4 linked regions of the Drosophila melanogaster genome follow. The protein of the gene in region 1 interacts with the protein of each later gene in a pairwise test. Each region holds a gene or a part of one and is shown in the gene's direction. Other genes may lie near its edges.

Region 1 (7,557 bases):
CACACGGGAGCGAGCGCCCGGGGGCTCGTTCATCTGGCCAAAGACCAGAACCACCTTCGAGGAGTCATCCTCCAGGGAGATGACCTTGGACTCGATCATCTCGTGGTACAGATCGTTGCCCTCGCGGGTACGCTCTCCTGCGCCCACGAACACGGAGTAGCCGCCATGGGACTTGGCTATGTTATTGATCAGCTCCATAATGAGCACCGTCTTGCCCACGCCGGCGCCTCCAAACAGCCCGATCTTACCGCCCTTTACGTAAGGAGCCAGCAAATCAATCACCTTGATGCCAGTGACTAGGATCTCTGGCTTCACGCTCAAGTCGGTCAGCTCCGGGGCTTCGTTATGGATAAAGGAGTAGAAATCCGACTTGACCTCACCGCGATCGTCAATGGGATCGCCCACCACGTTGAGGATGCGTCCCAAAACGGCCTTGCCCACCGCCACACGGATGGGATAGCCGGTATCGAGGACCGGCTGACCACGACGCAGTCCTTCGGTGGAATCCATGGCCACGCAACGGACGATATTGTTGCCCAGATGGTGGAATACCTAAGAAATCGATTAATAGAAGTTAAGTTTAATAATTTTTAAAACTTTTCGAATCTTTAGAAGTTATGTTAAAATCCGTTTTAAAATTTTAATTAAATATTAGATAATATAATATGAATGTCGTCCGTCTTAAAATTGGTTAATCCTTTGACTTACCTCCAGCACTAGGTTAGCAATGGGAGCATCCTGCACCTGGAGCGCGTTGAGCACCTCCGGAACCTCCTCCTCGAAGTAGACATCGATGACGGGACCGATGACAGCATGGATGACACCCTTGCGACCCTTGCTCTCCAGCTTCTTGCCTCCGCCGTCGGACTTCTTTTCCTCACACTCATCCTCGGCTTCATCCTTCTTCTTAACCAGTTCCGCGTCCGTCTTGCAGACTTCCTGCGGCTCGGGCTCGCACTCATCGCCCGACTTTTTCTTATCCTTGTCATCCCAAAGGGACAGGGAGGCATGAAGGTAGCGGGGAAACACCACAGGATTACCAAGATAGTTGCCCCGGTAACCCCCGGTACCCGGGCCCATCTTCAGGCCAATCCTTGCACATGCTAACATGGTTTTTTTCATTTTCAGAGGAAGCTGGTCATGTGAAATAGGTTCATTCTTCTTACCTGTAGCCATTTTAGCCCATGATACCAACATTTTTACTTTAGTTTTTTATTCTTTCGCTGCTTGGACGTCTTTGCTGCAAATAAAACTTGCTTGTAATGATAGATTCCTTTGACAGATGACAGCAATGCCTACTATAAAGGATTCCCTTAATGCACTTTAAATGGGTTGTCACCTATTTATTTTTTAGGGATATTTGCTTTCTAAAACTTCTTAAAAGTTTGCAATATAAATCCTAAAGTTTTCTTAATTAATTAATTAATATAATATGATTTCTTATATTTTAATTTATTTTCAGGCTGCATTAGATTAAGCTTGGATTCATAATCGATCCTCAGATATGTTTTCCTTTAGCTCTATTTTAGGGTTGAGTCAGTTGGTTTCCAAGGATACCGATAGCCACAAAGCTCTGAAGCCAAAACAGTAAGGTTTTCAAGCTGATGGAAAATGGACGTACTATCGCATTACAGCTCACCCATAGTTGAATTTCCGGCCACGCAGCCTTTGGAGAAGCAGCATGCCCTGGTGGACAACTGTACGGGCACCGATCCACCTCCTCCCAGCCAAGATGCCGCCACAGGAACGCAGGAGAAGCTGCATGTGGCCACACAAACAGAGCAACGAGTAGTTAGTAGTAAGGATGTGGAATACGATGAGAGGGCTTTGGCGAAGTGGTTGCGACAGATCTGCCCCATGGTCGAACGGGAGCTAATGAATCCCACGCCTCTGATGGAGGATCTAACGATGAGCCAGTGCCGCTTGGAGGAGAAACTGCAGGTGTACACGTACCAGAAACTGATAATGGGTGGTGCAGAAAACTCGCAAGGACTGGCTATCTGGCTGTGTGTGCATACGAATAACGCCCCAGTTCTGGTGGCCACCACTGTAGCTCCCCATGATGACTGGTGCGAGCATGTGGATCAGCAGCTAAAACTCTTTGTTCCCCAAAGAATGTCCGTTGGCAACTTGGTGATTTATACAGAGGCCAAAACTCTACCCCTAAAATCCTGTTTGCGAAGTCTGTGCACAAATCCGTTCAACAAGACCATGTTCGCTGGTTCGACCATGGACGGAGAGCTCTTCATCTGGTTATATGAGCAGGCGAGGGGTTCCGATTCCAGCGTCGATATCAAACAGCTATACAGTGTATCCTCCACCCAGGGAGCTGCAGTGGCTCTGGACTGGCCGCGGGAACATCTTCTGTTGGCCTGCTTTGCCAATGGCAGCGTTCGCCAGTGGGATTTAAGCAGGCAGATGGCTCTGGATTGGGAGTGAGTCTCTCTAAACACTAAACGAAACATTTCCCGGCATTAATCTTAAATATTATTTAATTAACTTCTCCAGATACACCCTGCCCGCAACGGTTAGCTCAGAGCCTACGGCAATGGTGACCCTTGGTCTGGATGACTTCGTCGTGGGCACTAACGATGGTGGCGTCTATCGCTGCTGGAACACCGGCCGGCAAACCGCAGCCATCAAGCAGATCAAATTGTTGGCCCTACGGCGACATCGATTCATGGTTTCCACCCTCCTCCGTACCGAAATGGAGGGCAACCTGTTCGTCCTGAGCTGCGATCTCAGTGGACAGGCCTTTTATCACGATATGCGGCTTGTGGATGAGGTGATAACATGACAAACAAACGAGCTGAACACTATTTATTTTCTCTTAAATAATGAACAGGACATGGCTCAGTTGATAGTACAAATTCCACTTCCCTTTAAAAACGTAATCGCCTGTAGTCGGGATGGCAACATCATCTTTTGCCCAGCCAATGATGGGTCACTGGAATACTATAGGGTGAGCGATGGAGCCCATGCCCATGTCAAGGGAGGACTTCGCGGCAAGGGAAGCCTTATCCGTAGTAGCGACAATGGGTGAGCTAATAACGAAGGAAATCAATAAAACAACAAATTTGAATAATAATTATCTTACAGACGCTGGTTAATTGCAGGCCTCTATGGCGACGAGTTCCAGATATTCTACGTAGAACACTAAATAGTCGTATTGAATTTTGTTCTCAGTTTTGAAATAATCGCTTGTATTTGCATGACTGCTTATGTTAATATGTACGGTTTTATCTTCTCTTAGGTTTGGTATATACACAATTTTATTTTAAAATTTCTCAGATCTCTAACAAATACCACATGTAAATATAGACTATGTATTGTATAAACAAGACATTTTATCTGTGTAGAATTTTGAACAAAATGCAAAAACGTAAAGCCATTTCGAAAATTTGGCGTAAAATAAGACTGCATTCTCTGTGGGAATCTCGTTAAAACCGCGTTTTCACATACGATTCACAAAATAAAATGTTCCTTTTACAACTATAGATCATTTCATAGTGTTATCAAGCTGTATGTGAACATATAAAAAGAAATATGCTGTGTGTAGAAAAGTGCTAGAATGACATAATTACAAAATGGCAATAAATGAATACACTAAACTTTTATAACCATTTGCCTACAGTAAAATAAATTATACAATTAACATTAACGAGATATATGCGATATATAAATATATAATAGAACTGCACACAATTTTGCTAAATCTCTCACGTCCGAACGTCCGATCCTATCTGTCCTAATCACGCGATTCCACTCTAATCCATTTCAGTCCACTTTGCATCCACTCGTTCAACTTTTCACTTAAGCTTAGATTGCAATCTGCATTTTGCACATAGTTCACATAATAATAACTAGAAGCAGCGCTCGCCCAACTTCTGATTGGCTGATAAATTCAGTTGAAGAGCACCGTATTGGGATCTTCGTTATCCATCTGCTTCACATGGCGCAGCACATCTTTCTTTGTAATTACGCCCAGTAGGCGACTGCAATGGAATTTGGATTAGATAACTTGAAACTGGTTAAACTGCTTCTGGCCACAAACTCACCCGTTGTGTGTTACCAATGTTTGGCGCAGTCCCAGCTTTCGGAACATGTCCACTACCGTCTCCATTGGCGTTTGATCTGTAACTGTGATCGGTGCCATATCCAGGATCTTTTTCAGCTTCAGCGGCTGGGGTCCCAGATTTTGAATAGGCTGGGATGATGTGAATAATACTATGGAGCTGCTGCTAATGCCCTCGATTAGACGCTTGGCATTGCCTATAAAATTTGTAATATTTAATTATGCAACATGATCTCGAAACAAGTTGTGACTGACCTATGGCCAAGTTAAGATCCCTGCGCAATACAAAGCCCACTAAATATTGATTCTCCCGCGACACCACCACCGGATAGCCATTGTGTTCCGTTTCTTTAAGAAGGTTCTCAACATCGTCCACCGTCATGGAGTCTTGGGTAATGACATTCAAAGTTTCATTCCGCCTAAAATGAAGTTTTTGTTAGATGATCTTGAGGAAAAAAAGGTTTTCTTTATACATACTTTGGTTGCATCACATCTGCGGCCAGTGTTGTATGCGCAAACTCTTCTTTGCTGTCTAGGAACGGATAACCATTCAGCGCAATGTGCGCATCGTAGATACCTTGCCTGCCCAGAGCATCACCCACCCACTTGGAGGCCATGGCGGCAGCCATCAGGGGCACAATATACCGCACTCCGCCTGTTAGCTCGAACATTATCACTACCAGGGAGACGGTCATTCGAGTGACACCTCCCAGCACAGCTGCTGCTCCCACAACCGCATACAGTCCGGGTGTGATAAGATTGCTGTCCGCACACTCACCGGTAAAGAACCAAATATTGGGATAGCTGTAGGCAAACTGCTCCACACCGATTCCAACAATGCGACCCATGATGGCGCCAAGGAGCAGGGACGGAATAAACAGACCAGCGGGCACTTTCATGCCAAACGTGAAGATGGTCAGGGCCAGTTTAAGTATAAAGGTGAGCATAAGCAGCCAAATGGAGCTGTACACACCAGGACCTGGCTCCGTAACTTCAATGAAACTGTTGCCCGACGTGATGTTCATGCGCTTGTAATCACTATAAGGAAATATGTAGTTATTATAAAAAAAAAATAAAAAATAATTATTATTGAAAAAACGTACCATAACGGATTGGTGACATCTCCGGGTGAGCACTTGCTAACCAATAGGAATATTAGCTCGTTCATGTTCATTCGGGTAAATGGATTGGGGTAGCAAATGATGGCAGTGACCAGGGTAACGAAGAGCACTTCCATTACTGGATACTGTCCGAGCTTGCTGAACTTCCTGTAGCGGCACCACCACAAATTGGCCTTGATGAAGAATGTGCCAATAACACCCTACAATAAATATTATGTTAATAAATTGTAGAGCTTCAAAATTAGTTCAGATTTACCCCCATAATTCCGAGGAAAACAAAAGGAATAAGTTCGAAAAAGATCCAGGGCTTGTTATACTCCACGAAAAAGAGCACGGAATGCTCGTTGCCAAACGGCGTCAGTGATCGTAAAACGAATGCGGCAATCAATGCACAAAAGAATGAACGCCACAATGTCTTCAATGGAAAATAGTATGACACTTCCTCCAGCGAAAAGAGAACTCCACCGATTGGTGCTCCGAAGGCCACCGAGACGCCTGCCGCTGCTGCTGCCGAAAGAATCTCACGCTTCTTGGCCTCATTTCGACCATATTTTGGGAAAACATGTGAGAATATGTTTCCAATACAACTGGCAATGTGGACCATGGGTCCTTCCTTGCCCAAAGTGAGGCCAGCGGATACAGACAGCATCAGACCCACCGATTTGATCAGCAGCGTCCACTTTCCTAGATAGCCGCGTATAATGAAGCCAGACAAGATGGTCTTTATCTCGGGAATACCAGATCCGCAGGCGTAGGGCGCAAACATTCGCACAAGGGAGGCGCTGAGCGAAGCAAAAAGCAAAGCCCACAGCACATACCAGATGTAAGCGACGATATATGGTCCGGTGCCATTTCGATCCAAACCAAAGATCTCTGGCCAGGTTTTCCACTGAAAATAAATGCGGTTTTAGTGCCTTATCAGGAAGAAAATGTAGTTTCACTCACCGTCGAGCAGTTGCCTTCTTCAAATACTGACTGTTTGGCCGGATAGCAGCATTGTTCCCTGTTAAACCAAAAGGCGGGTGGACAAATGCCATGCTTTAGATCCGACATCCAACTAGCTCCAATGTCCACCATGCCCGCCACACAGCCTGCGGCAATTCCGACGAGTAAAACACATAGCCAGCCAGATCCGGCATCAATGGAACCCTTTAAGTAAAATGATTGATAAGTATGGTGTGTTTTGAATCATAAACGATCTTATACCTTTATCAGATCCCACAAGGAGTCCTGTCGCTTCTTGACTATGTAGCGATGTCGCATCCGATCACGGGCAATGTCCCGCTGCCAATCAATGGTGTGAAAATCTTCGTACTGCCCAATGCCAGGAATATCATCTTGCACGTCCGAGGAACCATAGAAGGATAGTGCTCCTATAGCAATAATAAATAATACAATAAACATTACGGATTTGACACAGTAAGCTCCGAATCATGTTGTCGTAGTAGCATTACACGTGATTACGCTAATTCTAATGGTTTGGTGTCAAAGTCCAAAGAGAACCAGAGCCTTATAACCGCAAAAATTTATAGTATTTTTCTCGTGTTTCATTCAGGTATCGAGACGAAGAACGTTTACGTTTTCTTAAACAGATTCCTCGAATAAAGTTCTTACAGATATTACTCGTTCTAGCGTATTGTAAACATTGATTGCTATTATCATCAGATATACGATAGTATTTACCCAACAACTATAATTGATTCTTTTTCGTTTAAATAAATAATTCCCAATAGAAATGCCAGCTGGTTGTTTAGACAACTCAGTGATTATATTGCTAAATTAGCATCACGTGTGTAAATGGTGATTGTATTAATATACGTATGTACATATATCATGAAGTTAACTGGTGTCTCCACAATACATGTCTGTATGCTAATGATTGTACATATTAATTGAATTGCCAGCGAATGAGTACAGCTGTGAGCCGAATATTCGGAACCGGCAATGCGGCGAGGTGACGTCGCCTTACTCAAATGTTCGTGATCTTGATTAACACCACAGACAGCAACATTGGATGTTTTACGCAATGGATCTCTCCGAACTCACCGTCCATAGGATCGCCGAAGGCACTGTGAGTTGGCACATGCTGGTGCATTGTCCGCTGATTGTGGTGATTGCCGCCGCCGTTGCCGCCAGAGTGTCCGAAATCTCGTTCGGTGTCCGATTCGGTGGCCGTTTCCCGGTGATAGCCACTGCTGCTTCCTCCTCCTCCGCCGCCGCCGATCACATCGCCTGGACTGGAGCGGGGTGTGATGTCAATCATATCCTCGTCGTCGGTGCCCGCCGCCGTCAGCGAGGTGGTCAGTTTGGTGTGCTGCGCCAGCGGATGGTCACGAAAAGTTCCGTCTAGGTCGCCGTCGC
Region 2 (7,253 bases), on another chromosome or scaffold:
ATTGTCTGATCCGACAACGTTTGCTCGGACAGTGTGGACTGCTCCAGTGTCATCAGCTTGCTCTCCAGAGCGGTGCGGTAGAAGATATCGCTTTCGGCGATTTCAATTTGATGCCGCTCCTGTGTTGGCGGTAACTCCAATACTGGCACCTACGATGGATGGACAAGGCTGTAGGATTTATCAATACAAGATGTATTCCCGGATTACCGCTTCAGCCTTCTCCTCATCGCCAGCATCGGTGTGCTTCTCGACAAGTTTCTGTCGGCGCAATTTCTCATCATTCCAGATGGCCTCGATGCCGGGGTTAGTGTGGTTGCTCTTACTCTTCGCCACCAGCTGGAACCGATTCAGTATGAAGTTCGAGCTGACATCCACCTCTAAAGCACTGCAGGCCACTTTCTTAGCGGTTGTGATGTCCAGAAGCTGCGCTTGCTTGACATTTGCATAGGGGATTACTAAAGGGTTAGTTACGGGTTAGTTAGGAACTTAAATAGATGATGTATCCAGCTTGCCGTCATCGTCATGGTTGCGCCGGAACTTGAGAACCTCCAGCGGGACATGCACATAGCTCATACCGTACAGATTGTAGTCGATCATAAACTGCAGAATGTAGGGCACATGCGACTCGTGCGGACTGAAGTTCTTGCTCAGAATGGCGCCGCTTTGGAGAAGGTTGGCGGCGCGGCGTACGAACCGGGGATTGAACATGTAGATCTTGAGGAACTGGTGTTCCACTCGATGGTAGCCATAGAAGGGTCTGTAAAGAGAGGTCGGTTAGAGATTTACGCCAAGAAGTCGTCCAGAAAGAACTCACATGCCCTTGACCAGCTGAATTTTGAACACATGCTGGGCGTTGGAGCTGCCTTGACCCAAGGATATGTTGATGGCCTTGTCCAGGTGCATGGCCATCTGCAGGATGCCCCGCTCCAGGGACTCAAAATCCTTCTTGTCATACGGAATGTATAGATAGGGGAAAACTCCGTGTACATGCATGCAGGTCTTCTGGCCTCTGGAGTTGCCGCCAAACACTCGAATCACTGGCACCTGGAAGTGGAATGGATCGTTATACCAGTTTTTACTGTGGTGAAATAGACCGGCTCACCCGCTTGATTTCTTTGCCGCGCAGCTCCGAATAGCACGGATCCATTCCGAACTGCGGCTTCTCCATATAGAAATCCGCGATGACCAGCCGGACGGAGTAGACTCCATCGATTGCCTCTCCTGCGGCTGCCATTTTCGCCAAAACTCAGATTCGTTTTCGCAGAGCTATTTGTTGTCAATTCAATTCAAACTAGAGTGACCATGTATCGAAAAGTATCGATCTATCGATTGTTGCTTTTTGAATTCAAACTAAGGGCAAAAACGTAAAATAAATATTTTTAAATTGAAAGAAGAGCTCTAGAACTTAAAGAACTAACTTGGCAACAATGTTAAGAAAAACTTTAGTGCAAGATGAAGGAATTTTATACTTGACAATGCTAATTTTTGTATAAACTTAATTACGTAAAGGGTCCTACAACCCATATATATCATTAGTTGTTAGAGGCTCTTTTTAAGGCGCTTATATAATCAAACCCTTTGTAAAAATTAAAGTTTTAAATGGAATTCTAATCGATTTATTTCACATTAGCTTTATTTAAGTGTGACCTACGCAGAAAGCTAGCGAAATACTCATCAACCCTCCCCCGCCATCGCAGCGCCATTCTCCTAATTTGCGAAAAAAGCTCCGGGAAAAGGAAAAAGCGGCAGTCGTAATAGCGAACTGAAACTGAACGAGAGTAAAAGTGAAAAGACAGCAGGAACTCAGCCATGTCGAAGATCGGAATTAACGGATTTGGCCGCATCGGCCGCTTGGTGCTCCGCGCCGCCATCGATAAGGGCGCCTCCGTGGTGGCCGTCAACGATCCCTTCATCGATGTCAACTACATGGTTTACCTGTTTAAATTCGACTCGACTCACGGTCGTTTCAAGGGCACCGTTGCGGCTGAGGGCGGATTCCTGGTGGTGAACGGCCAGAAGATCACCGTGTTCAGCGAGCGCGACCCGGCCAACATCAACTGGGCCAGTGCTGGAGCCGAGTATGTGGTGGAGTCCACCGGAGTGTTCACCACCATTGACAAGGCGTCCACCCACTTGAAGGGCGGCGCCAAGAAGGTCATCATCTCGGCCCCATCCGCCGATGCGCCCATGTTCGTGTGCGGCGTTAACCTGGACGCCTACAGCCCCGACATGAAGGTGGTCTCCAACGCCTCGTGCACCACCAACTGCCTGGCTCCCCTGGCCAAGGTCATCAATGACAACTTCGAGATCGTCGAGGGTCTGATGACCACCGTGCACGCCACCACTGCCACCCAGAAGACCGTCGACGGTCCCTCTGGCAAACTGTGGCGCGATGGACGTGGCGCCGCCCAGAACATCATCCCGGCCGCCACCGGAGCCGCCAAGGCTGTGGGCAAGGTCATCCCCGCCCTGAACGGCAAGCTGACCGGCATGGCTTTCCGCGTGCCCACGCCCAATGTCTCCGTTGTGGATCTTACCGTCCGCTTGGGCAAGGGAGCCACCTATGACGAAATCAAGGCTAAGGTCGAGGAGGCCTCCAAGGGACCCCTGAAGGGAATCCTGGGCTACACCGATGAGGAGGTGGTCTCCACCGACTTCTTCAGCGACACCCATTCGTCTGTGTTCGACGCCAAGGCTGGCATTTCGCTGAACGATAAGTTCGTCAAGCTAATCTCGTGGTACGACAACGAGTTCGGTTACTCCAACCGCGTCATCGACCTGATCAAGTATATGCAGAGCAAGGACTAAACTAGCCAAAACTATCGTACAAACCCGGCGCCCAGCAGCTGGTCGGGAATCACTGTTGCATAATCCGCAAGGGGCGCAATTGAGGATGCTTTTTTTTCAAATGCACAAAATAGCCATAATTACGCAAAGCTACATATTTATTGTTGTTGAATAAAGTATCGCCCTGTTACTGTATTTAAATGCCAGCTATTTGAAAAATAAAACTTGTGCATCGAATGAAGAACGTTGCTTGTGTAAGCCCAAGGGCGTGTGAAGGTTATATCGGGCGGACTTGCTGAGATATGCAGTGAATACACAAATAAGTATCTGTGCTTCGCCTGGGAGAGTCATCCCAATCCCAAAGGAACGATGTTTCTATTTATGTACATACCATATGTATGTATGTACGTTTGTTGTTGCCAACTCTGGCAGTCTCGAAATTCGAAGATAACGAACAAATATATTCTCTTATCGCTGCACTTTGAAACCTGTGCGGATGCTGTTTGTTTGTCTCGGATTTGGATTCTTCGGCAAAACAACATAAATACACATAACGACCAATTGAACTCAGACCATATAAACTATATAGCTTATATATACTTTATACTTTTTGGTGGATAAAGGGTTTGTTTTCATATATCGACCTGCGTTCTTATACAAAGCGGCTTTCTTATGAGCATAACCAAGGTCACGAAAGGTCATACACATATGCTTGCTGCTTGGTACATAGCTTATCGGCATTACAGAATTGAATCGATTAGCATCAACCAGGGCTGCAAAGAGCGGGATATTTGAAAATGCCGTCATTCTAAATTTCCAAATGCTAAGCTTAAGATATTTTTAAAAAATATGTAGCTTTTATTATTTGAGCTATTTCTGTTCAAATTATAAGGCTTAATAGAATTTCCATTTAACAATCATAAAAATATTGATGGTAAATCAAATGGAAAAGTAATTTCAACAAATCAAACTCTCAGTATTAATTTGTATATTATAGAATGTAATATATAAATACAATAACACCACTAAAAATGCTCTTCACCATATTATATATAATTATTGCATTTAGTAAAGACAAAATATATAACCATATCTCAGAAGCATCATGCTTTTGATAAACCAACAATTGTAAATGGCAAAATGCATCATATGGGATTCACCAAAATACTTTTGACTTGCATGTCGGCATACTTCGGTGGAAGCCCATCCTTGCGCATCCTGCGGAAGGCCTTCTGCACCGCATAGAATGCCATTCCGAGGCAGCCTGAAAGTAGTTTTTGGATTTATTGAAGGACGAAGTTAATCTCTATATTGTACCTATCATTGGCGCTGCGCAAAACATGACGATTAACCAATCGCCCATGGCCAGCAGCACAATGGATGAGTAACCCATTAAGTAGAGGAACATGGCGGTTGTGATCATCCAGGGCACGAAGAGCTTGTGCCTCTCCTGCGATGAGAGAATGTGGGTGAAAAATTGGAAGTTGCATTGGGAGTATGGCCGACCTTGATGGCTCCGCCGATGAGTACTGCGCTGCTGATAATCTGCATGGACGCTATGTGAACTCCAAATGCGTAGGATAATTCTGCGGGGAAACTGGTATTAGATGTGCTGGCTCTTGAACTTTGACCCCCGTTCAGTACCCCTCAAGTTGGCGAATATGATGAGGTAGGCGATCGCAAGGCAGATCGATGCAGCCCCGGAGCAAATAATGCCCGCCTTGGAGTCCGGTTTCCACATTTCCAACTCCTCGATGGGCGTTTTGTTCGCAAATGATCCATTGTTCCATTACTAAAAAGCTTTTTTTAATACTTATCTAATCAGCCATTGCTTTATATACAACGCATATACATAAAAGCCTTTGTGGGATATATAGGCACCGCAAAAGGGATAATAAAATTGTGCATCATAGAAAACAAGCTTTGCTAAAAGCCAAATGATAAAAGTAAAAAAAAAACAGAATTACCTTTGTCAGAGATAACAGAGATGTGAGCTGGAAACGAAATTTCGCAGAAAAAAGATAACAAATATATTTTCAGAGCACACTGAAAATAATAGTTCACAAAAGTGATTGCCTTAAAGTTTATAGTTCCCATTGCAAATTGTAATAAACTTTAGAAAAGTTTAAATTTACACCGATTTCTTGTGGGTTTGTTTCGTTTGAATAGCACTTAAAATGAGCTTTTATTTTCCAGCTATCTGATCTACCTTTAATCTTTTTTTTGTTTGTATTGAAATTGCTTATATATGTATCTATATGTGATTGATGAACTCCTTCTTGTCGGACAAGCTGGCATATGCCGGTGGCTCCTCCTTGCGCATCCTGTCGAAGGCCTTCTGCACCGAGTACAGGGCGCAGCCCAGATAGGCTGAAAGTGAAGGATTTTGGTTAATTGGCTGTCCAATCTCTGGCTGCGTTAACTCCTCACCTGTGAACGGAACGACCATCAATGGTCCGAAGATCCAAGCTGTGCCCTGGACTATCAGTGAAATGAACAGGTTCACCATCAGGTATAAAAAGAATCCTGTGGTTATCATCCACGGCACGAAGAACTTGTGCTTTTGCTGTATGCAGCAAAGAGCAGAGCAAAGAGATAAGAGATAAGAGTGTTGTGGACTGTGCACAGTGTGCCTAACTAACCTTTATGGCTCCAACGATGAGGACCACGCTTCCCAAGATCTGCAGCGCCGAAATGTGTATTCCCATCTCGTAGAGTCCATCTGAAACGAAATAGCTCTATGCATCGCAAAGATATCCAAGATTGGTATGTATATGCGCCTACATTTCCAGAAGTAATCGTCCATCAAAACCAGATAGGTTATGGCAAAGGCTATGGACAGGCAGCCCGAGCAGATGATTCCTCCTTTGGTGTCCAGCTTCCACATGTTTCCAAAATCGCAGAGTAACTTGCAGACCGCCGATTATTTCACAACTAAACTGGACGGGAGTATTCATGGTGGTGATGGGTGAGCAGGCTAGCTTTTGCCGCAGACCTTATCTAATCTCATATTGTACTGTAGCTCCTCCACCAGCGCAACAACAATTGAAGAAAACCTTTGTTGGTTAGTGTATAATTATAATTTTATTGAAGGATTCGCTTATTATTGCTTCGACTGGCCAGCTAACTGGGCAATCCATGCGGGCCTATCTATCGATGGGTTCCCAACTTGTGGCTACACCATTTTACAATGAGATACGACCTCGAGTCGATTACTTTGAATAATGCAATGGAATTTAATTGATTAGCTAACGAATTGAGAGTGGCGAGTGTGCAAAAATTTGTTAATTGTAAAATTTGTAACATGCGTTTTACTATTTGGTTTTCTTGCATCTTTAACTAGTATAATTAGGTATAAAAAAATGTTACTGCAATATCACCGCACGGCATTGCTTCATATGTATGTTTTGATGTATAATAACTATTCGATTTTCAGTTAACTCGCGTTATAAACTGCAAAATGTAGCGTATTTTAGAAAACGTTCGAGGCGTTCTACGTTCTGCGTGAGAATCGTTGATTAATTTGAGTTAAGTGGCGTTAGAAATTGGTTAAGATAGACTTAAGAAACTTGGCAAACGTCGCCTTCCTCTGGTGTTATCAAGTTAGTCAAGATATATAAAAATACGTTACGTAGGTTATAACATTCGATTAGTACAAGTAGGTATGTATAAATATATAAAAAGTACACAACGTGTAAATAAGACTAAGTCAATAGAGGAGACCTCCTTCGGGCAGGTTGCTTAGCTGCCCCGCGCATCTGTCCTTTCTCATCATAAGCACTTCATATTTCGATTTGTTGCATTTCGATTGGTTTTGTTGTTTTTTTTTTTTTTTTTTTGTTTTGTTTTTGGCAAAATCACAGGAGAATTAGAAATATAACATCAATATGATAGAGCGAAAGTGCATTCGATAGAGCATTCGTTCAACTTGGGTTGCTTTATTTGCCTTTGCTTGCACGAACTTGGATTCCGCCTTAGTTAAGTTTAGTTTTGCTTCTGGGGTTTTTGAATTCTTTAAATGTATATTTGTATAATAAATTATGACTATATATGCATTTATATATAAGTATATAGATGAATATATTTAAGAAGTAAGTAGGAGGCGCATTATTCCACTTTTCAACTTAGGATAACAACATTGCATTCGCGATTTCTCCCTAAGCCTTCGATCGCTGTACTGACTGACTGGCTGGCTGGCTGACTGACTGACTGACTAACTGAACTGGCTCGCCAAAGGCTCATAACAATATTTAACTATAGAGAATCGCCGATCAAAAATAATAACCATATGAATAGTGGTGATAGTGACAATCGAAGGATGCCGACGTGTATAAAATAAATAAATAACATCGCGTAGAAAAGGATCTGCGTTAAACCTATTTTAGACATCGACTACCATCTTCTTGTGAATGTCCGTGTTGCCGACCACAGAGCAGAACTCATCGAACGAGATCTTGCCATCCTCA
Region 3 (7,057 bases), about 11 Mb from region 1:
TAAACCTAAAAGTGGTGGTGGGCGCAAAACCAAAATTAGCAAGCGTGTAGACCGCCTTATCATGCGAATAGTGATTGCGAACCCCGAATCTTGGTCAGAGCACATTCTCAGGATATCAGGGAAGAATGTCACCTAATTGTGGCACACGAAACTGTGCGCCATAGGTACTCTTCAAGAGTTGCAATGAGAAAGCCTTTGCTATCAGATGTCAATATTGAAAAGCATCATTCATTCGCTGTGAGCAATGTGGATCATCCGGAAGAGTACTGGGATGACGAAACTAAAATTATGCTCTTTTATAACGATGGGCCAAGCAGAGTATGGCGCAAACCGTTGAGTGCGCTAGAAAAACAAAATCATTCCAACGATAAAATTTGGAAAAATGTCACTGCTGGTTTGGGTATTGTATATCCAGCCGTGGAGTGGGAAAACGATCCTTTATTGAAAGCACAATAAAAGCAGTGCAATATCTGGTCTAGTTAGCAACAACAAGCCAAATTTTAAGTTTTACCACAACATGATCAGAAACATAAAGAGTGCAATGTACGCACCTGGCTCCTTTACAACTGTGGTAAAGTGATCGGTACGCCTCTTTAGAGTCCTGATCTGAACCCCATTGAAAATTTGTGGACCTACTTCAAAAAGAAGGTGGCAAAAAGGGCCCTGAAACACGACAACAGCTTATGACTGCAATAGTCAAATAGTGGGAAAAGATACCGCTTAAATATGACCTCCAAAAACTTATCTATTCCATAAAAAAAGTCTCCAACTTGTAGCCAATGACAATGGGGAACTTACTACATACTAAAACTTTTAAAATTTTAATGAAATAATTTAAAAATTTAGTATTATACTTCGATTTAGTGTTTTGTGTAGAGTTTCTTGATAGTCTCAAAAGTGTGTAAACTTGGAATTTGTAGTTTATTTTCTGGTATATTTAATATTTTCAATTTGTTTAAGTAACTTTTGATATAAGTAACTTTTGATATAAGTATTATAAGTAAAATAAATACTGTTTAATTATATTTCATAAAAAAATGCGTTTAATTAAGCAAAGAACCCTTAATTTCTACCTTTAAAGACAAAAATTCCAATTATTTCACAGTGTGTACAGTGACAAACTGTAATCATAATAAAACACAAACTTTGACTTACCTCCGCGCTGTCTGAACTCATTTTACCCAATGACAACATGAAGAATTCTGAGCACTCTGAACTACTATTACTATCATTGGCTCATTCATTCTTTAAACGCATTCAGTGAGTTCATTTAGATCGGAAGCTTAAAAGAGAACGCGGCCAACTGAATGGCATGCATTGTGAATACGCAGTGAAACGAATGAATACTCTAATTGAAAACAAAGAGAAGGTGTTATGCAGCACTCTAATATGTATGTCGCGAGCTATGTGGCACTGGCGGTATTGCAGTAGAAGTATTGCCACTGAGGAAAGAAATCAGTTCGACACAAATAATCGGTACCCAGGGGACACCACGGAATTATTTGACCTTCGAATCGACTTGAAATATTATAATGTCAAACATTTCCATTTTCCCCAATTTAGCTATTTTTCTAACTATTGCTTTTCATTTTTATTATATTTTTTTGTCGTTTTTGGCATTTATTAATTATTTTCAGGAGTCAATTATTTAAATATCTTTTTTATTTTTCTCTATCAACTATTACAGTCCACTTGCTATTCTTAAAAACAAAACATTTATAATTTTGTTTAACATATCCGTTTTATACGCATAACATTCATTCTTTACATAAAACCATAATGAGAGAGCACTACTTTTATTTGTGCGCTTAATGCATTGCTCAACAAAAAATATTTTTGTATACAGTATTTTCATAAACTTTTATGAGTATTTTGCAAATATTAAAAAATATATCAAAAATAGATACGTATCGCAATTACTATTCGAGCTTTCATTTTTGTACTATACTATTAAATATTTAATAGTATATATTTATATTTATATTTATTCAAAATGACTTTTATTGAAAACAAACTCGGTTATTAGCGAAAATTTAAAAAAAAAATCGAGTAGCTCTGCATATAGTAAGCTTTACTCAAACGGATTAGAGAAATTAAAAGGAAAATTAAAAAAGTTTTCTTCCCACCATCAAATTGGAATATAAGAAAATAATTCTACTGAATCTAATTTAAATTTAAAATTTAAAATTTAAGTCAAAAGACTTAATAAATATTTTACATAATTAAAGCATAGACAAAGGGAATTATTATAACTGCTGTAATTTGAATAAATAAATAAACCATAAATTTAAAAAAAAAGTCAGTACATTGAGAAAAAAAATATTTCATAAAAATAAAACATAGTAGAAAATAAATAAAAATATGAAATCTGTTTAGTGCAAAAGTTATATCTGGAGGCACTGAGTGCGGACACAAGCTATCATCAATCATTGTTGTCATAATTTCTCACACCTCGCAAACGTAATACTCTAATTTGTGACATTTAAATAGATTCGGTTAATACTACAATATTTCTATGCTATATTTAAATAATAATAGCACTAAGGCAATGCAGAGAAAACATATTTCACATGATGCCAATTGACCGAAATTATTATAGTTATTATTATAAATTAGTTATTATATAAATTATTATAGTTATTCTAGTGCCAGCAACCGGCTGCAGAGCTCTCCGGTCTCTGGCTCTGACTGTTGTTATTCTAGTGCCTATGCAAATAACATTTGTCGCTTATGAAATTGGTTACTTTCAAAACATTTTTAAATCTGAACCTGTATATCGGTATCAAAAATATAATCGTGCATGATCCGGTAATCGAATTCGTATGAATTTTATGATTCCGCTTTTGGTCGTAAACCAATTTTGACTTTTGTCTGGCCGAAATGTAAAAATGCCTTTTAATACCCGTTATTTGTAGAGTAAAAGACTTACTGGATTCGTTGAAAATTATGTAACAAGCAGAAAGAGCGTTTACGACTATACAAAACATATTATTGAACAGGATCAATAGCCGAGTCGATCTAGCCATGTACGTCTGTCTATATGAACATCGAGATCTCAGCATACAGGTTCTAGAGGCAAAGACGCAGCGCAAGTTTGGTGACCCGCCCACTCTAACGCACGCAAACCTCCAAAAACTGGCACGCCTACACTTTTGAAGAACGTGTTGTTTATTTTTAACATTTTAATTATTTTTATAATTTTTTTTATTTGCAACAAAATTTTTTCGCACTAGCTGAGGAACGGGTATCTGATAGGCGAGGAACTCGCCTCCGATGTGACAAGCACACATTTGCTGTCGACAACAACAAATTTCGATTTGCTAAGGTGTCGCTAAGTACGTCGTCAAAAGTTATTGCGGGAAAACGAAACAGGCAGGTAAAAATATTTATACCATATATTAAAATGCTTTCATTAAAAAATAAATAAAAACTGTGAAAAATGGGGTAGCTATTTTGTATGAAAAACAATTGCAAACAGCAATTTCTGCGTCCGTCTGGCTTCAAAACAAACGATTTCAAATATATAAAGGATATCTTCACGTTGTTTGATTTTGACAAAGAAAAAAGTCAGTTGTTTGAGCAGCAAGAAACGAAATAAAGCGAAATAGCATAGAAATAACGCATAGCACTATAGCAAAAATTATTTGAAAACCAGAGCACCTAATAACGAAATTAAAAGACTTTTCCCAAATCGAATGCGATAAGATAAATTAACATGGAACGGAACATGCTGGGATGTTTTAAAAATAATACAATTCTGTGAGAAAGGGGTATAATTCCGTTTTACAATGTTTCATGCATTAGGGTAAGTATATCCCAAAGCAACTCTGAGCTTGTTTGTCGTGTGATCCAACTCATTGCTTCCTTCTTTTGGAATATTTCCGTGCTGTAAGTTGGTTGTGCATTCGGGTCAATAATTTTTCTTTAGTACGAGATCATTTCGGAAATAAGTTTATATATTATTTTCGGTCCTTTTAAAATGTTTTTAAGTTTGTATGATGATTTTTTCCATGCACCACTCTGAGCTCAGTGTAGATTATGGATATCTGACGGATGTTATGTTCGTTTTTGTACTCACATTGCTATGTAACATTGATACGAATTATTATCTGTTCTAGATTGTAATATGTACAGTTTAAGAAGTTGATGGACCGATGATGTGACAGTTATAAAATAAATAATGAATTTGTTACTAGGTCTATCAAATTGCAGAGATGGGGGCTTATCGGTACATGCAGGAACTTTATAGGAAGAAGCAGAGCGATGTGATGCGCTACTTGCTACGTATTCGCGTTTGGCAATACCGCCAACTAACGAAATTGCATCGTTCGCCAAGACCTACTCGCCCGGATAAAGCAAGACGTTTAGGATACAGAGCCAAACAGGGGTTCGTGATTTATAGAATCCGTGTTCGCCGCGGAGGTCGCAAGCGTCCAGTTCCCAAAGGATGCACTTATGGCAAGCCGAAGAGTCATGGTGTAAACCAGTTAAAACCATATCGTGGTTTGCAATCCATTGCTGAGGTAAGAAAAAACGAAATTTGCTAACCACACGTTCGAACAAGTTGATGACAACCCCTTTTGACATACAATATATGTTGACATTAACTTCCTTAGATGTCTGAAATATTCTTGTCCAATTAAGAGGTCCTCACCAAAAAACACTGAAATATATCATGAATTTTATTTTCTTGTAGGAACGTGTTGGTCGTAGACTTGGCGGCTTGCGAGTTTTGAACTCGTATTGGATTGCGCAAGATGCTTCTTATAAATATTTTGAAGTAATCTTAATTGATACTCATCACAGTGCTATTCGTCGTGATCCAAAAATTAACTGGATCTGCAAGCATGTCCACAAGCATCGTGAATTGCGTGGCCTTACATCAGCTGGAAAAAGTTCGCGTGGCATTGGCAAGGGATATAGATACTCCCAGACAATTGGTGGATCTAGGCGTGCTGCTTGGAAGCGCAAGAACCGTGAGCACATGCACAGAAAACGATAAATTGTGAAGCATTTATTTTATCGGTTAAATAAAGCACTTCGTGCACGCAAAGAACATATCTAAAAAATATATTTTTTGAAAAGAGCTTTTAAACGCAAAAATAGATATAGTAACAGGTTTTCGCATTTTTGGTTTGGCATATTGGTTTATTAGGAATTTTGGTTTAAAATATAAAATTTCTTTCATCTACATTAACTTCCAGTTTTTATTTTCAAAAATGTACTAAGACCATTTTTCGGCAAGACTCCAATTCTTTTACAAAAAATTTTAAAATATATGCAAATAATCCCTTTTTCGTTTAGCGGATCTAACAAAAAAGTACCTCAAGGTTGAGCAAAAAATCTCATTTGAACGACGATGGGCACGCAAACGTATTTTTGCTTGTTATAGCTCTTCTGCTTCATATCTAAAAAATGCCATATCGAAAGATATTGGAAAATGAAACAATATTAAATTTAAAAAAATGTTCAAAAGCGAGGGCGTGGTTGTTTTGGGACTTATGTAGGTGTAAGAACGGGCGTGGCGGCTTGTATTTAAATAATATTAAAACGTTTTTTGAAAAGCTTAAGCGTGACAACATTCGGAAACACAATTGCGCTGCGCTTATTGTGTTTCTGAAAGCTGCAGGCTTAATCTCAAGATTTTACCCTTTATAGTTCCTAAAATCGATACGTTCATACGTTCAAACGAGCATGGCCAGATGGACTCGGCTATTGTTCCTGATCAAGAATATGTGCATTTTATATGGTTGTAAACGCTTCCTATTACCTGTTAAATTCTTTTCAACGAATCTGGTATAACCTTCTACCAAAGACACTAGAATAACAAGATGCGTAACGGCCATACATTGCTCTCTGTCCGCTCGCTTACGCTTACGCATTAATCTATTCGGTTCACTCTACTTTGGAAAAACCTGAAAAAAATTAATACATTTTTTTCCATTTTTTTTTTAAATTTAAAAATAAGCCTTTAAATGATGTAAAAAGCCTTGTATTATGTGGTTTAAATAATACAGTGATAATTAAGCATCGATGTGCATGGGCGGGCACTAGCTATGAAATGAATGACAAGGGAGACTTAATTGCAGGGCGATCTGCAAGAGTTCGGGAGCCATGATGCTCCCTCAGCTTATCTACATATGTATACATATATGTATGTTCATAGATGAGCATGGATTTGGACAATTATGTCACCAAAGTTTACAATAAAACAATTTCAGAACTGCTGGCGACTGCGAGACCAATGAGTTCCTTAATTTTTGTAAAATTGTTACATATAGTGCAAATCGCTCTATTTAGATTACGATTTTCCTTTAATTGGCAAGTTCTCTAATTATACGTTACTCTTAGAAAGAGTATAAAGGTTATAAGGGTATTAGCTTCCAATCAGTATATAAATGTTGATTTTTTTGTAGTGTAAGTAGATTACGAAAAGCGGAGTATCTATAGGCAAGAGTTTTCTTAAAAAACATACTTCGGAAAACTTCTGGATGTTAATTTAATATTAATTATACATTTTTCCTCTATGATTACCGCCAACTCCAAAAGCGTCAATAAAAAGTTAATTTCCTTTTTTCTTACAAAAATTAGACAACTACATCATATATAAATGAATTAGTTACTAGTGTTATAGAGTAACTAAAGTTGCCGTTTAACGTCCCAATGAAAGACGGAGCGATTATTTCGTTACAATTTTATTTGCGGAGACTGAAGCTACCAGTGAAACCGCAACACATATCGTTGCGGATTAATGTTCATAGCGGCCACGCAAATATATGCATATATAGCATTATGCATACTTTGAAGAATGCGGTTTCTGTCGCTTATTTTATCTGGCCGTCCGCGGACGTTAACTTTAGTTGGAGGACGCCCTCGGCCGACCTGATTCCGGCAATCGCCACATTCAATTGCCTTGTAGCTCTTCTGGCCCTTAGGATACGCCAGCTCACGAGGCCAACGCAAAATAGCAGACAACATACTGAAGCCATGACAAGTGCCACCTGTTGTGGGCGATCAGCGTCGATCTCTTCCTTGAATTTCCGGATTGTCTCCAAAT
Region 4 (8,260 bases), on another chromosome or scaffold:
GAGTATCGGATGAGCATAGAACTAAGGAACCATTAGAGGTCCGATGGATTGATTGAGCCGCCACAGCGCCATTTTGATAATAAGAACAAAGAATTCGATAACTATGTATGTTTAATGGATTACATAAGTGTGTACTACTTCACGCGTCAGGTGGGTGGCATTGCCCTGCAAATATTTACTTTAATTTCTGGATAATTAGTGCTCACATCACTGATTAGAGGACAGGAATGCGCAAAACAATATGCTTAATACATAAGATTCCAGAGCTTTTAGTAACGCCATGTAAATTCTGGGTCATGAATACAGTTGTGAAGATTGAAGATTGTAACCGAGGCGTTTGTTATTATGTATTCAAGTCATTTATTATAAGTGTATACAGCTTATACTATTATAAAAGTGTTAAAAACATGAATTATTTTGAGAAAAAAAACCCAAAAAAGAATATACAACAAAATGTTAGTCGGTAAATGAAATCAAATGTAAAACAATTTAATGTAGACTGTACTAAAGAATTCAAGGAAATTTGAATATCAACACTCCATCACGCAAATAACTAAAAGGAAATTCGCTAATTGAATAGAAGTTGATGGGAAAATTATTTGCACAGTGCAGAAAAACGTGTTATAAAATTATTATACTATACAAAAACTATATATTATTGAATTATGCTGATGAAATTAAAAACCATAAAAGTATGTAAAAAAAATTCAAATACAAAATGATTTAAATGAAGTACAATAAATATTCAAGTGACGAAAATGTACGAGCGGGCTCTTTTCAATGGGAATATGAAGAATTTAATTTGAAAATGTTTGATTTTTGTTTTTGAACACTTCGGTAAGTAAATGTGACCGCTTATTGATATATTCTGTTCAGCTTTCGCGCTGCAGTCACACTTTTGGCTTCCCGGCACTTGCGGTCAATCGATAACAAATCGCGCCTTCCGATATCGATAGTCAGCGAGCAGTTTTGCTTGTAACAACAATTTTAATTGGACAAGCTAAAATTATGGAACCGGTGCCCATCCGGCCAAAAGCGCCGGGAGCGAGCAACCGCGGAGCCCTGCCGCTGGCGGCGAAGAAGCCGGCCAAGAAGCGTACGTACCACTGCGGCGTTTGTTTTGCGGAGTTCTCTCGTCATCTGGCCGCCAAGCGGCACGAGCAGCAGTGCTCCGTCAGGGTGAGGCGTCTTTTCGTCTGCCCCCACTGCCTGACGCTTTTCGGCGAGGAGGCCCGGCTGGAGCGGCATCGGGAGCGAAAGCACAACGATGGCCAGTTCCTGTGCCTGCAGTGCGGCAAGAAGTACGCGTCAGCCACGTTTCTTTACCGTCATGTTGCCAGTTGGCACGGCCAGCAGTCGCTGTTCTACTGCGACATGTGCACGGACAACTGCAACGACGTTAAGACCTTTAGCGGGATGCTGGAGCTGCAGGAGCACGCCGAGGAGGTGCATCGCCTGCGTACCCTGAAGTCCACGGCCAGTGATGCAGGTAGGTATTCTGCTTACGAGTAGTTGTGATGTTAATGGCATACCCTGCTTAATAATACTATTCAATCCGATCCCTGCAGACAGCCAGGTTGATGAAATGGAGGATCTTGAGATGCTAGAGGAGAACATTGAGAACATACTGCCCAGCATCGACTGGGACGACGATCTCACCTTTGGCTGGCCCACCGACCTGGACAAGGAGTCGTGCATTGTGAACGCTAAGCCGAGCGTTTTCGTGTGTCCCTTCTGCGCCAACGGATTCCCCGGCAGTCTGAGCCTGGTGCGGCACCTGGAGCAGGTTCACGAACGCAGTGCCCTGGACTGCTGCTACTGTGGCAAGAGCCATGGCAGCCGAGAAGCCCTGCGGTCCCATCTGCAACGTGTTCACATCCTCTTGCGCGGTCATGTGTGCGGTATTTGCCAGGCGGACTTCGCCACTGCTGATCACCTAAAGAAGCACGTTAACAGTCTGCACCTGGACCACCGACCGCATCTGTGTCCCACGTGCGGAAAGAGATTCACCCAGCGGTGCCACCTCACCGATCACATAAAGACGGATCGCGGCCATGGACACGGCACTTACACCTGTGAATTCTGCGTGCGGCCCTTCTTCCGGGCCATCGATCTCGAACGGCATGTGTGTGAGGAACATCCGTAGGGCAGTCAACCTAGCCGGAATCGTAGATACCTGAGCGACATCTCACGTCCAGAACTACGATTAATATATACTTAAGCAATGGATAAATGTAACGTTTTAATAGCGTTAATATTTTGAATTTATATCCTAGTCATCGGAAATGTTTTTCCAAACGAACTTGAATTTAAAATCGTATTTTATTTTTTGCTGTAAAATTAATGCTTATGAGACGATTTACATTTACATCTTAGGAACTATAGACATAAGCGAATAGTTACTTTAATATAGCAAGCAGATGGCTGAAAGACAATGTACTTATATGAATAAAAAAATATCAATACATGAAGTCAGGTTAATAGAAACGGGCACAATTGAAATATTTTCTAAGGAAAGTTTGAAAGAATGAAAGATTGCCTAAAGAAAGTTTACAGATTATTGCTGCGTAGTGTTAACATAATGTAAAATGTCACACTAAAATGAATACTTTGAAAATAACGATGAAATAGTGCAGCTTTATGAGTAATATTTATCATCACCACAACACTGATTAATCAGATAATATACTCCATTTCCACCAATAGACAGATAATAGAATGTAACATATGTATTGTTCATGTTGCTCTATATATATTTAAATTTAAAATCTCAGCGAGCCTCCTGAGCGAGGGTGTGCGTAAGTCGAGATCGCGCTCTCCCAGCGTTAACTGTTAACAGTGAAACCCATCCGCTCCGCTCCAGGCCCCAAGATCGGGAGAGTAATGAGCGGAGCGGTTCGGTTCGGATTGGATGTGAGTGTTGCGGTACAGAGCGGAGAGCGCAATGCTGCGACAGCTGGGTACTGTTACTGTTACTGCAACAGTTACTGCTACTGCTATTGTTATTGGCGACTGTGGTGATAGGGGCGCAGTAACTTGGCCCACACCGACGAGTCGACAGTTTTGAACGGAACTTGCTGGTGCTTGGATCGCAGCTCCGCCGATCTCCGCGAGGCTAACACCACAAACTTAAACGCGCTCAAATATATATCACAAATTATTAAATACAAAACCCCCCATTTGTGCACACATATTTTTTGTTGTTTGTTTTTCGTTTCGTGCTAACCGATTTGTGCCATTGAACTTCGTGTAAAACATAATATTTAGAATTTTCAAGCCGTGTTTCCATAAAGTAAGTGGTGCTTCTCAAAATTTCAACATTTCAACACAAATCAGCAGCGTAAACAAACAAGCCAGCGACCCTCGACTACATCTAACATTTAAACTGAAACTGCTTTTTGTTATTGTTTATATGGTTTTCCACTTCTGCCCCACTAAAGCCGGGCCTTTTAAAAAGCTCTCCACAGCGCACAGCCTTTTGTTATATATATGTTTTTTTTCCCCAATAGCTTTCGAGCAAAACCAGAACACCATTTTATCATTAACAAATGCAAAAAAAAAAAAAACCAAACAAAACAAAAAAGTACAATTGCAATTAACGTTTTTTGATCTGGCTGTTGAGTTATTCCAGTGGCTGTGTGGAAAACCCAGTGAAAATGTTGCGCTTGAATTCCTAAAAACAAAGTCTAAGCCGGGCTTAATCGTTATTCAAATCAAACTACGTCAAATCGCGTGCGAATATAAGATTTGTGAATCACAAATGAAAGTGAACTTGGCTTAAATGTAGTCGCTGCCTTAAACTGCAATATATCAAGTTGTTTATGATCGAGTTATTGCGGATAAATCGTCAATAAAGTTCAATAAACTAATGCTGGCAATGTGTTCAAAGTTCCTGTTTTTTTTTTTTTTTTTTTAATTTATAACATTTTAGAACAAAAATGCCATTTTTAAGAAATAATTTATTTTGAAATGCACATTTGCGGGTTTTCATTAAAAGAAAACACGTTTAATGATAATGTTTGCTCACAAAAGTCACACATTATATATTATGTGATGAATATTAAAATATTATAGTAAACGTTTCTAATTATAACGTATATTGTATGAAACAACTGGAGAACTTTGATATCCTAGAAAGGAAACTATACCTTGAGCAAGTGACACCTTCACTAAACTTAAAAAAGAAAACAATTATTTTAGATATGCCCTAGTTTTTTAAAAACTTGTTCATATTTCCGCCTTCCAAAAGTTGAAATCGGTTAATCTTAGACTCGCATTCCAGACGTCGCCGTTGACCCGATCCCTTTGGGAGCCCTTTGGGAGCAAATCCATAATTTATCTTGTAGAGCTTGTAGAACCCACTGCCCATTGTCCATTGCCCATTGCCCTCCTGTTGGTCCAAGTTTTGTGTTTTCTTGTTTGTTGTTTGCTCTACTGCTCCCCCGTCTACATGGGCCCATGGATGCAGTGGAGTTATTATCATGTCTATATTGTAATTGATTTGCCTGAGCGAATGACCAGACGGGAAGACAAGCTATGGGCCTGTTCCCTGATCTGCCACGCCTCCGCCCGCGCCGCGCCCGCGGTCTTATCATTAACGCTTGAGTCTTCCTTTTGTATTGGAATTCTTGTGCGGGGAGCAATTGCCTGGCGGGAGGCACTCCCTTCGCGTAATTAAGGACCGCCCAAGTGGGGATCGCGATTCCGAGATGATTCCTTTTGGTTCCTCGCCTTCTCCTCCTTGAGATTACTTGATATGATTTGATATCTTCGGGTGACGCACCGGGAAGGAATGCCTCGAAAGTGTGAGAATAAATACAGCTGACACCTGCGCAAACTAAATACAGATCATATGGGTATCGTCTATCGACTATATGATACCTGAGGCATGGATATATGCATATGATAGCCTTATAAGTTTAATATTCCTAAAGAAAGCTTGTAAACAGTGGCTTGATTGCGTTTTTTGAAACTAAATGCTGATCAGATTTCGCCAAAGTTAGCATACCTTTTTTTAGTACAGGGTACTAAAAGCAATCAGTATGAGGAGTAACAAAAGCCTGTCGCTTTCGCAATAAGTACATATTCGCATTCATATATATAATTTAAAAACGTGCTTAATTTTGTAATCTGCCTTTCCCCCTTACCACTACTCCCATCTATCCGTCTCCCTGTGGTCGATCTGTAATATCTGCGCTGACGAAATGCCTCAGTAGCAACAACAACAAAAACAACAACAACTGATAACTGATAACTGACTAGACGCACAAGTTAACCGTTGAATCGGGTTAAAGAGACCTTCGATGTGACAGGTTGTGCAATCACCAGCGGCCCACCCGTCGAACGAACATCCTATAGAGGTTTTAAGAATCTGCATTATATTTTGAATCTTGTTTTCAGTTTGTAAGATCTATTGAAATTCTTTGCAGATAGATTAGTAAATTACTTGATATCTTTTTAATTCCAATTGAAAATTATTCCGAAACTGTTAAGCTAACAGCTGTTACTCCACACAAAGCTTGTGCAGCAGCCGCCAAAAAAAAAAATAAAAACAGAGCAACAACAACAAGACGGCACAGAGGAATGTCAAGATGAATCACACAGGTGTGCGTGACACCTGGCAACAGAGAAAGAGAGAGGGAGGGAGAGCGATGAAAAGAATAACAACGTTTGGTCTGTCATATCAATCGGTATTTGCTTAACTGTTAAAAAGAGCCAAGAAATGTAAGGAAAACAGAAAGGAAAACAATGATAGCTGAATTCCGTGTGCGTGTGTGTGTGTTGATTGCAGCCCACAAATAAACACTTGTGCACCCATTGCACCTAAAACGCAAGTGCAGAAACATACACACAAATTGAAACTCCCGAGGAGTACCGTTACAAGGCGAGCTTAAAGCTATTTTTAACACCATCCGATCTTGCTCTCCTTCCCCACCCCTTTCCACACCCCTCTTACCCATTCTGCTATCTCCTTTCCTGTGTTGTTTTTTGCACCACTTCTCACTTTGCTTTTCTTCGTCTTGCCCTCATACACTGCACGAAACCAGGATCACTTTAAAACGCTTTGTCCGCATATTCCACAGCTTTGTATTAGAGAAATATAATCAATTATGTATATACATATAATGGGCATTAACCCATTAGTCGGCATCTTCAAAAACTTTCCACACTTTGTTATGTGTACAAAAAAGTTCATACAAGTATTTCCAAAAAACTTTGTACGTTTTAATAAAGATCATTCCAATTTGCCAGTTGCATTATAAAAGTTATTTGTATAGTAAAATAGGCTCATAAAGCCTCCTTAAAAACTTGCATCCAACTATTTTTCTATCATGGTATCATGTTCAGCAAAATTTCATTCGCCGTACATCCAAAATTCGATTAAACTGAATTTAAAATGAAGTTGGTTACCCAAACCACTATTTGTTTATATCTATACTAAATTAGCGAAGCAAGCTCTTGGAATCTAGCAGTCCATTTTTTTTCCAGACCCAATATACATGTATGTATGTACATTACATATGTATATATTTTCCGATCCATGGGGGAGCATATGGCTATGTTTACATCTTTCTCACTTCTTCGTCTTCTATTTTTTGTTTTGCATTTTAATGAATGAACGCCTTTTGCGATTTTACAATAGCCATTTATATTTTATTTGCTATTCACTAGGCTGATAAAGCGCCTTGACCAGCACGCTATATACAAATCTGTATATTTATGTATGTATGTATGCATGTGCATTTAGTATGTTTTACTGGGACTTATCACTATCACTAGGCGTGCGTTACGTTATCGACAGCCCACGAAGAAGAAGAAGAAGAAGAACAGACTGTGCAGCTGAAAGGGAAACGCGAACTGACCTATAATAAGAATTTTCATATTTAAGCAGTACGCAAGAATAAGTAAAAAAGAATAAGAACAAGGGAGCGACGAGAATAAAAACAAATAATAATGAAATGCATTAAATGCGAGAGCCACAGTGGAGCCGGCACTGGAAATAAAATCATTGGCTTAACAGCATAAGAAGAAGAATTCTTCTGTTCGAAAGCAGAACGCGAATTCTGCAGTTGATTAATTTTACCTATAATTTCATTTTCGACCAATTATTGCACTTTTCCTTCGAGTGCAACATAATCAGTAGCTGAGTCTTACTTTTCATATGCAGGAAATATTAAACTCCCTACGCACTTAGCATTCGAAATAGAGTTTGAAAGACAGGAAACGAACTGAAGAATTCCCGCTTGAGTCTTCTAGATTGCTGGCGATTACACAAGAATCCTGCCGCCTTTTGACTTGGCTTCGAGGGCTTTAATGGCCACAAGTGTAGCTGATTTATGAGTCAGGGCATGGCCATAATAAAAGAAACGGTCGAACAAACGCGGCTCATTCATAGCCAAAAGTGGTAGTGGTAGTGGCATTGCATTGCCTAGTACCATGTAAAGAGTGTGCGCCAGGGGCGTATGCGTGACTCAGTCGTTTAGTAACCATCTTGAACTAGCCACAATTGCTTGATTTACCCTATGCACCTAATACACCTAATTGTTCTTTGAATTGTTTACAATTGTTTACAATTGGCATTGTAAGATATTTGTCGCAAACTTTACGATTTCAATCGAGATTAAGGGGTGTTTATCGAGTGCCGCTGGTGACTAACACGCCCGGTGCTTCCTGTCCCCCGGCAGGTTGATTGTCTCATTGATATGCCTGACGCACGATACCCTCGTACCCTCGGAGTGATGATAAGACGTTTTGTATCAATGTCAAGTTGGCCGACGCAGGTTTTTTTTTTTTTTTTTGCTGCCTCCAACGTTGGCCAACATCGCGTTCATAACCGAACTGACCCCAATTCGAATGGGAAACGTGACCACCCGCCCGCCTGCCCACCTGTCACCCACACCTGAAGAGCACACCACCTGCTGCCCGAAGAATTGACATTGTGGGGAAAAAGTAAATTAACCCTAGGAAAACAATATGAATCTCTGACTCTGTCATCTTCCAACATACATACATATATCAAGTCGTAAATCAGTCAGAGGAAGTCTGGGAATAAAAGGCGACTTCACACTTCTACCGGCATAAAAAAAAAAATTTCAAAAAATATAACCATTTTCAAATGAAAAGAAATCTTTACCTTCTCGAATCTTCGCGGCTTTGAAGAATTTTCCAAACCAAATTAAGCTGAATTTGGAGTTTCCGAAAATATTTATGTACATATGTCTCAAACATGGCTCACCATTCGATTCGGAAGGTCACTTCC

The links.
Region 2: the proteins of CG13074 (region 1) and Gapdh1 interact in a two-hybrid assay, tested with the Drosophila melanogaster proteins (one large-scale study listed by BioGRID).
Region 3: the proteins of CG13074 (region 1) and RpL15 interact in a two-hybrid assay, tested with the Drosophila melanogaster proteins (one large-scale study listed by BioGRID).
Region 4: the proteins of CG13074 (region 1) and Pvf1 interact in a two-hybrid assay, tested with the Drosophila melanogaster proteins (one large-scale study listed by BioGRID).

What each region holds. Positions count from the first base shown.
Region 1 is NT_037436.4:16,091,544-16,099,100, reverse strand, and holds CG13074 (uncharacterized protein), read left to right. Parts: upstream 1-1,607; 5' UTR 1,608-1,611; coding exon 1,612-2,435; intron 2,436-2,508; coding exon 2,509-2,785; intron 2,786-2,845; coding exon 2,846-3,039; exon of another isoform or gene 3,040-3,044; intron 3,045-3,097; exon of another isoform or gene 3,098-3,099; coding exon 3,100-3,160; 3' UTR 3,161-3,333; downstream 3,334-7,557. Other genes in the region: ATPsynbetaL (ATP synthase, beta subunit-like), read right to left, coding at 1-552, 709-1,103, 1,167-1,197; ClC-c (chloride channel-c), read right to left, coding at 3,905-3,995, 4,059-4,272, 4,331-4,494, 4,553-5,113, 5,179-5,396, 5,453-6,085, 6,142-6,345, 6,403-6,569 and 1 more.
Region 2 is NT_033778.4:7,787,677-7,794,929, reverse strand, and holds Gapdh1 (glyceraldehyde 3 phosphate dehydrogenase 1), read left to right. Parts: upstream 1-1,549; 5' UTR 1,550-1,809; coding exon 1,810-2,808; 3' UTR 2,809-3,029; downstream 3,030-7,253. Other genes in the region: PolZ1 (DNA polymerase zeta subunit 1), read right to left, coding at 1-149, 208-455, 513-757, 815-1,044, 1,103-1,234; CG12824 (uncharacterized protein), read right to left, coding at 3,933-4,051, 4,105-4,237, 4,294-4,373, 4,432-4,528; CG12825 (uncharacterized protein), read right to left, coding at 5,042-5,157, 5,218-5,353, 5,430-5,509, 5,572-5,674; CanB2 (calcineurin B2), read right to left, coding at 7,169-7,253.
Region 3 is NT_037436.4:27,263,396-27,270,452, forward strand, and holds RpL15 (ribosomal protein L15), read left to right. Parts: upstream 1-3,859; 5' UTR 3,860-4,128; exon of another isoform or gene 4,129-4,196; 5' UTR 4,197-4,214; coding exon 4,215-4,523; intron 4,524-4,558; exon of another isoform or gene 4,559-4,628; intron 4,629-4,696; coding exon 4,697-5,002; 3' UTR 5,003-5,050; downstream 5,051-7,057.
Region 4 is NC_004354.4:18,829,655-18,837,914, forward strand, and holds the start of Pvf1 (PDGF- and VEGF-related factor 1), read left to right. Parts: upstream 1-3,027; 5' UTR 3,028-3,292; intron 3,293-8,260. Other genes in the region: CG7101 (uncharacterized protein), read left to right, coding at 1,009-1,489, 1,569-2,146.